Canis lupus familiaris: one gene and its partner. Each later gene encodes a partner of the first gene's protein in a complex. Links are inferred from orthologs where the notes say so. Each region holds a gene or a part of one and is shown on either strand. Other genes may lie near its edges.

Region 1 (3,803 bases):
CTGCGCCAGGTCCCCATCCCAAGTTGTAAAACACAAGAATCAATCATGGAGAGGAGTCAGGAGGCCCGCAAGCGTCAGGAACCAGGTGCCTGGCAGAGACCGTGGTAAGACCAGACGCTTAAAATGTGAAAGAAGGGGTCAAACCACAAGCAGATCTGCTCTGAAGAGGAAGCAGAGATGAGCCGAATGGAGAGCCGGGCCTGGGAGCCGAGCACTTCATGGGTTGGGGGGGGGGGGGGGGGGGGGGGGGGTGGGCACAGCTGAAGGCAGAACCGGAAGCCAGCTGGAGGGACGGCCGCCCACGCAGACACGCAGAGAGCACCATGGGCTGAGGACTAAGGAGCCAGCTCCAAGGGGCAGGGGAAGGTTCCCGGAGGGAGGGACCTGGGAGACCAGAGGACGGCCCGGGGTGATCCCGCACTGACAAGGGGGCTCTGGGACTCAGGGAGCAGGTGACAGACAATGCGAGCACCCAGGAGGTTCTGGCGACGGAGCCTGTTTATTGGGCAGGTGGGTGGGCGCCGCCCGTCACTCCTTGAGGGAGAAGTGCATCTTGTCGCTGATCATCTTGCGCTCGGGGTTGAGCCGCTTGAGGATCTGCGCGAGCACGTTCACGGTCTGCTCGCTGCTCAGCCCCGTCTTCTTGGTCTGGAACTTCTTCAGCAGGTCCTTGGTGGTCATGGGCTTCCGCGTCAGGTAGCGGCGCACCGCGTCCTCCGTCACCTGCACGTCTCTGTGGGGCCAAGCAGAGGGCGGCGTGGGCGGGCGTCCGCAGGCGGCCTCCCCACACCCCCGCCCCGCCCCTGCCATTCCCCCGCAACGTACCCGCTGCTGGGGGTCGACTTCCCCGACTGGGGCTGAGGGGTTGACTTCCCCGACAGGCTCTGGGGCCCCGGGTCCAGCCGCAGACGCTTGGCCACCGGCGTCTCATTGGTCCGCTTGCCTGGGGGAGCGGGAACAGGGCTGAGTCCTGTGCTCGAAGTGGGGGAGCCCAGGCGGAGGGGTGCCAGGATCCCAGTGCAGGGGGCCCAGGGGGCACACAGGCCTTGGCTCCCGAAGCAGAATGCGGGCCAAGGGTGGGAGAAGAGGAGGCAGCGAGGCTGGGTCCCGCTCACCCTGCTCCAGCTTGTTGGCGGCGGCCCGCAGGGTGGAGGACGTGCTGCCACTCTCCGCGCTCGGGCTGCCCGGCCGGCTGTTGCCCCGAGAGCTGCCTCCCGACGGCCTCCGCTCCCGCTTGGGGGGTGTCTTCTTCTTCTGTGGAGATGGGGTCCGGGACATGAGTCTACAGATAGCCCGTCGCCTGCCCCCTCCCGCCCCCGGGCCGGGCCATACCGCCATGAAGAGGGCCGAGGACGCCTCGCTGTCAATGTCGCTCTCCTCCGAGCTGTCCGACTCGTCGCTGCTGTCTGCTGGGGGCCAGAGGAGAGGTGTGGCTGCCGGGGTGCCCACCCGTGCCAGCCCCGCCTCGGGTAAGGGGCTAGGGGGTGGGGGGTGGGCTGGGATGCAGGGAGGGGACCCACCTTTCCTACGCTTCTTTTCCTGGGGCGTGGGCGCCTTCTTCTCCTCCTCCTCCTCCTTGTCCTCCTCGGGTGGCTTCTCCTCCTCGCTCTCCTCGCTGCTCTCGCTCTGCTCGTCTACGCCCTTGGGGCCCTCCTCCTGCTGGACGACCTTGGGCTTGCCCTCCAGCTCCTCCTGCGAGCTGCTAGAAGACAGAACGAGAGGGTGAGGGCCGGCCTGGGCCATCCTGGCCCCAACCCCTCGGCCGCCTCCTGCCTGCCTTACCTCGAGCCGTCCGACATGTAGTCCACCTCCTGGCCCTCGAAATCCCCATCGTCGCTGTCCTCGAAGGCCTCATCATCGGAGCCCTTCTTCTTTTTCTTCTTCTTGGTCCCCTTGGTGGGTGGTGCCTTCTTCTTGGCCTTGGGGGCTCTGCCCCCTGCGGAAGCAGAGGCGGGCTCAGGCTGGCGCTCATCCTATTTGGTGTATCCGAGGAGGTCCGCCTCGGCAGAAGCCCCCGAGGACCCACGTCTCCCAAGCAAACCCGACCAATGCAAGTCTACACCCCTGACTCCCTCTCTCCGGTTCTCACACTCAGGAACGCCACCTCCTTCCCTGCATCCCCCAGGACCGGGTACCGACAATCAGAAACCAGCCTGTGGCCAGAATTATTTGAATTGGCCAACCTGAAGCTGTTGCACCCTCTGCCCCTCCGCATTGCACATCCCGTGGGAGCCCCAATAAAGGCCACAGCTGAGACCTTCCTGTAGCTTTCTGCCTCCTACCAACTCAGGTGCTTGCCCAGTGGCCTGTGTAGCCTGCTGAGCCCTGCTCTCATTCCCAGGGGGCTGTGACTAAGCTTCAGTGGCACTAACCTCCCTGGGCCATCACTCAGACACCTTGACAAAGTACGACGCAAGCACAGATCACCAGGCTGTGCGGATCACCCAGTCACCCCGGGGGCTCCACCGGCCTCACCTTCCTCACCACTGGCCTCGCTGTCGTCAGACGACATCTCCAGGTCATCCTCCAGGTCGTGGATGCGCAGCTCACTGGCTTTCTTTCGGCTGCGCTTCTCCTTTTCCTCGTCTTCCTCCTCCTGATCCTGATCCTTGAGCCGTCGCTGCTGCATGATGCTGAAGTGGTTCAGGACTTTGTTTCTCCTGTGGGCAGGGGAATGGGATGCAGTGGGAGGTGACAAGGGGCCTAACTCCAGAAACCGGGCCTCCTAACTGCATCTACACCAGGCACTCCCCCAAAGGGGAACCATAGACACAACTTTGGTGATATGAGGGATGATCACAACCCTGGCAAGTAACACCCTGAAATTACATGCAGAGAGCTGAATTTCTTTGACTCCTTTCAGTCCTATGTCCCTCAAGGAGAAGCTCTCAGTGGTTTGGTATCCCAGCATCTCTCAAGCTCAAGGCCTTTCCCAGGCAACAACAGAATTTGGCCACAATGTATTTACATCCATGTGTTTTTATGGTAGTTTATGGGTGCCTTTGTTTTTATGACAAATAATACTGCTGTTTCCATTTACCGTGATGGTAAAAGTTTTTAAAGTTTTTAAAAATATGACTATCTAAAGAGAGTCTTAGGATTGTATCTAATAGCACAAGCAAAGTTCATCAGTGGCATGGGAAGGAGTAAAGCTCTTTGATACAAGAATGTGAGTGGACTTAACACTACTGATTAGTACACTTAGAGTTGACAAATTTTATTGTGTGTTTTTTAGTTATTTTTAATTATTTTTAATTAAAACATGGAATGAGGATCCCTGGGTGGCGCAGTGGTTTGGCGCCTGCCTTTGGCCCAGGGCGCGATCCTGGAGACCCGGGATCGAATCCCACATCGGGCTCCCGGTGCATGGAGCCTGCTTCTCCCTCTGCCTGTCTCTGCCTCTCTCTCTCTCTTTCTCTCTCTCTCTGTGACTATCATAAATAAATTAAAAAAAAAAATTAAAAAGAAAATTTAAAACATGGAATGAAATACTGATATATGCTACAACACAGATGAACCTTGAAGACCTGCTGAATGACATGCCAGTCACAAAAGGACCAATACTGCATGATCCCACTCGTATGAGGTCCCTTGAAGGGTCAACTCAGAGAAGGAAAGTGGAATGGTGGAAGCCAGGGTTGGAGAAAGGGGGCAAAGAATAACTTTCATGAGGACAGAGTTTCAGTTTGGGAAGATATGAAAGTTCTGGAGATGAATGGTGGTGAAGGTCGTACAACAATGTGAATGTACTTAATGCCACTGAACTGGATACTTAGAAAGGATGAAATGGCAAGCTTTTACAT
Region 2 (4,539 bases), on another chromosome or scaffold:
AGCCCCAGGCCTTCTGCTCACCCATCCCCTCTTCCTGGCAGAAGAAAACAAAACCCCCAGGAACCCTGCATGGTAAGAAAATCAACAGCTGCCAGCTCTGCCTGGTACAGGTAAGAAGGTAGGCAAGAGACTCACAATGTCATTCTTGTCCACACGGGTCCCCACAATCTTCAAGCGGATCTCATCATCCTGCTGAATCACAATGTCCTGAGGAAGAGTAAACAGGATACTCAGATACCTACAAGCCAAAATTTCTTGGAGGGCTCATTCTTCGTCCTTCTCATGGACTTCTTCCCCACTCACCTCATCCATTGTCTTATAACATGGTGGGTTGGAGTTGGGGTCAAACTCCATCTCTGATGGGATGGACTGAAAGGAAAGCAAGACAGAGCTTTACAGGAGTGCTTCCAGAGAGAGTCATGACTGGCTTCTCTCCTTAGCACCCCCAGCACGCCCAGACTTACATGTCGAGAAATGAAGCAGGACATTGGTCCAATTTCTGTGAAAAGTCCAACCTAAGAGGACAATGGGGGACTTTGTTTTTCTTTTTAAATTTTTATTTATTTGAGAGAGAGAGAGAGCAAACGTGTATAGACAGTGAAAGGGAGAAGTAGATTCCTGCTGAGCAGGGAGCTGGCTGCGGGGCTCCATCCCAGGATCATGACCTGAGCCGAAGGCGGCTGCTTAACCGACTGAGCCACCCAGGCAGGCACCTCGACTTTGCTTTTTCTTTTATCCTCAAATTCACCTAAGCTTCCCAACTTTATCTAATTCCTAATAATATTCTTCATATTTTGAATCCACTCTGAATTGTATCATTTGCTTTCATGTCTCTTCTGCTGAGATTTCATTTCAAGTTACGCAAATACAGTGCACTAAAGAGCCAAGGCCTGGCACTTGTCGGTCCACAATCTGACCACCTGTTGATCACATGACCTTGGCCATTAGACAACTTCTAACTTCTCCAGGCGTAAGCTTCTATAAAAATGGATAAAAGCATGACCTTAGTCACCGTTAGGTTTTGGACCTTACCCAACCCATAATAAGTATTCAATGAATGGAGACTACTATTGCTGACAACTCATACTGACTTACAGGACCCCAAGGGAGGTTTCTGCACCATTTGACAGGTGTAGAAACTGAAGCAAAAGTGACTTACCCAAGGACACAGAGTTAGCAAGAGCAGTTGGGACCCATCCCCCATCTTCTGAGCAGCCACCCAACTGCCTCCACTATGTATGGACTCACCTTGTTGACTTGAGTGACAACAGCATCCACGACCTCCCCTTTAAAGGGCCGGAAAACAATGGCCTTGTACTTAACTGGATAAAGGACAAACCCTCGGCCTGGCTGGATCACACCAGCACCAATATTGTCAATGGTGGTGACAGCAATTACAAAGCCATACCTGTAAGGAGGATGAAAAAAAGAAAGGCATCGTGTGTGCAAGAGCCTCTAAAATCATCTACAACAAAAAAAAAACAAAAAAATAAAAAATAAAAAAAAATAAAATCATCTACAACAAATCAGTGATGATGGGGGTCAGGGGACGGCACAAAGGGAAATAGATGGCACCCCTGCCCACAGAACTTCATGTTGGGAGAAGAATACAGATCAGTATCTATAACTTTTTTTTTAATTTTTATTTATTTATGATAGTCACACACACAGAGAGAGAGAGAGAGAGGCAGAGACACAGGCAGAGGGAGAAGCAGGCTCCATGCACCGGGAGCCCGACGTGGGATTCGATCCCGGGTCTCCAGGACCGCGCCCTGGGCCAAAGGCAGGCGCCAAACTGCTGCGCCACCCAGGGATCCCCGATCAGTATCTATAATGCCAAACACTGCTCTCATGTTTCACAATAAATGTCCAAGGAGACTGCAGTCCTTAAGCCAAGAGACTTCAATCTTGAGGATGCCTCAGAATCACCTAAGAGGAACTTCTTAAAACACAGATTCCCAGAGATCCCTGGGTGGCTCAGCGGTTTAGCGCCTGCCTTCGGCTCAGGGTGTGATCTCGGAATCCCGGGATCGAGTCTTACATCAGGCTCCCTGCATGGAGCCTGCTTCTCCCTCTGCCTGTGTCTCTGTCTCTGCCTCTCTCTCTATCATGAATAAATAAATAAAATCTTAAAAAAAAAAAAAAAAAGTCTGCGGAGTAAACGAATGACCAGTCTCTGCTGAAGTAAGTCTCGCGATCCAGAGGGCACCTCGGGAACCCAGGCCGGAAGCAAGTGACTGCCTCGGGTGCCTGAGAGGGTGAGAGGGTTCCCCGGGGCAGGGGGCAGGTGGCAGGTGCTTGCAGGATGAGTAGGAGTTGGGTAGAGGCTGCAGATCAGGCGGCGCGAAGCACTCGGGACTCACTTGCCGGTGCAGGTCCCCTCCACCTCGGTGAAGAGCTTCTGCTTGACCGTGTTGAGCAGGTTGGGGCCGAAATAGCGCGGGTGCAGCAGGATCTCGTGCTCCAGGGAGATCTGCGGGGAAAGCGGCATGGAGACCAAGCAAGGACGAGGAACAGCATCTCCTCGTCCCGGAGCCCCGCTTCGCTCCTCCTCTTAACCCTGCCCTCGCGGCCACCCCGTGCTCCGCGTACGTGATAGAACATCCTCCCAGCCGGGACCGGACAGCAGCCAAACCCAAACTGCCTCGGTGGTAGCCGCGGTTCTCACGCAACCGGAAACACGCACCGCCCCCGGAACCCTGCTTCCGGGCCTGTCCCCGCCAAGTGGGCGGGACTCCGCTCCCTTCGCGGACCCAATTGGTCATCGCTGTCGTGGGCGGGAAATCGGTGAGGCCCCGCCCTTCCGGCCCAGGTCCTCTGCGGCGCAAATGCTGGCTCTTCTAAATGAACAGTTTCCTGGCCTAGGAGGGATGCGCGATATACTGTTAAACGGAATTAATTAGCTAATAAAAGACAACGTGAATACAGTGCTTTAGCAGAACGCATTCGTGTGGCAAATATTTGAAGGCTGCCTTCACATAGTAAGCATCGTAAGGAGCTGTCTTTATCTCATTTCATGTACATAGCAACACCACTAGGCAAGCTTTACAAATGAGGGACCAGGCTCAGAGAGTTGAGGTCACTTGAGGGTCACGATTCAAATGTGCAGTGTCTGACCTCCAAGACCCTTGCGTATTTGGACATTCCAGATTTTCATGCAGTCATTTGTTCAATAAAATGGAGCACCCCACTCCTTGCTGCAGGTAGTTAGGAGATGAAGCAGCCAAAATCAGAGCCCAGGAGTCAGTCCTCCCTCCGGTGTGAGAAACCAAGTCACTGCACTCCTCTTTCCCGTTTCCCCCCAACCCGCTGACACACACGCATGGGGGGCTTAGAGAATTGATTGGTTTGTTCCCTCAACTCTGCCCACTTTTTTGTAGACAGTCGCTTTGCTAAACTCCCCTCAATTAACCGGAGTGATAATGCAATCTATTCCCTGTTGAGACTGACTGATAAAAGGGCCATGCAGAAAGAGGCAGAAACCATGAGACAGACCCATGAGTAAGGCTCAGCCAGGGCAGCTGGTTCTAGAGCCGGACAATCCTTTTTTCTTTTTTTTTTTAAGAGCCGGACAATCCTTAAGGCTTTGAGCAAACTCCCAGTTGCCTGAGTAAGGTTTTTATGGTGGTTTTTTTTTTTTTTTTATGTTGTAAATAAAAGATCCTGACCCACCCTACAGCAAGAACAGACACTTCACGTCTGCTTCCTCAGAACTGTCACATACCAGTTCGTATGGACACTGTCCATTTCCTGGAATAGTTGATCCCACCAGTCTGCCACTAAAACTCCATGGGGATCCCTTTTGAAGGATCAGGCAAGGAGATCCCTGGGTGGCTCAGCGGTTTGGCCCCTGCTGGGGGCGCCCAGGGCGAGTTCCTGGAGTCCCAGGATGGAGTCCCACATCGGGCTTCCTGCGTGGAGCCTGCTTCTCTCTCTCTGCCCCTCTCTCTCTCTGTGTCTTTCATGAATAAATAAATAAAATCTTAAAAAAAGAAAGATCAGGCAAGGAAGCAGATGAATGGGCCTCAGCAGTCCTGACTTTTCCTCTCTTCTTTCCCAGCCATCCTCCCCTTAAAGGCAATCTTAAGGACAGTGGTGTGCTAGAACCAGCTACAAGAGCCATCACCTCCTGGGGTGCATTGCTGGCTCAGTTGGTACAGCATATGACTCTTGATCTTGGGGTTGGGAGTTTGAGCCCCACATAGAGAGACTTCTTAAAAAAGTAAAATAAAATCTTAACTTCATCTCTTCCTAATTATTTTACCACAGTTTACTATTATCAATGCTCTTTACACCTATTGTGCCTCTGTGGTATGGTAAAATATAATTGCATATGCAGGTATAAGACTTCCGGTTACTCCGGTAGCCTCACCAGCACTCGGTACTTTTTTTTTAATATTTTATTTATTTATTCGAGAGAGAGAGAGAGAGAGAGGGAGGCAGAGACACAGGCAGAGGGAGAAGCAGGCTCCATGCACCGGGAGACCGATGTGGGATTCGATCCCGGGTCTCCAGGATCGCGCCCTGGGCCAAAGGCAG

Evidence for each region.
Region 2: GTF2F1 (region 1) and POLR2G share a complex: the UniProt entries of both Homo sapiens proteins name them as parts of the TBP-based Pol II pre-initiation complex. The link is inferred for Canis lupus familiaris from reciprocal best matches to the Homo sapiens genes GTF2F1 and POLR2G.

Annotation. Positions count from the first base shown.
Region 1 is NC_049241.1:54,176,136-54,179,938, reverse strand, and holds the end of GTF2F1 (general transcription factor IIF subunit 1), read right to left. Parts: intron 2,661-3,803; coding exon 2,476-2,660; intron 1,937-2,475; coding exon 1,783-1,936; intron 1,703-1,782; coding exon 1,521-1,702; intron 1,410-1,520; coding exon 1,333-1,409; intron 1,255-1,332; coding exon 1,116-1,254; intron 944-1,115; coding exon 826-943; intron 734-825; coding exon 529-733; 3' UTR 481-528; downstream 1-480. UniProt on the Homo sapiens protein: TFIIF is a general transcription initiation factor that binds to RNA polymerase II and helps to recruit it to the initiation complex in collaboration with TFIIB. It promotes transcription elongation.
Region 2 is NC_049239.1:54,436,565-54,441,103, forward strand, and holds the start of POLR2G (DNA-directed RNA polymerase II subunit RPB7), read right to left. Parts: upstream 2,807-4,539; 5' UTR 2,605-2,806; coding exon 2,593-2,604; intron 2,474-2,592; coding exon 2,364-2,473; intron 1,409-2,363; coding exon 1,249-1,408; intron 516-1,248; coding exon 465-515; intron 370-464; coding exon 304-369; intron 208-303; coding exon 136-207; intron 1-135. UniProt on the Homo sapiens protein: Core component of RNA polymerase II (Pol II), a DNA-dependent RNA polymerase which synthesizes mRNA precursors and many functional non-coding RNAs using the four ribonucleoside triphosphates as substrates.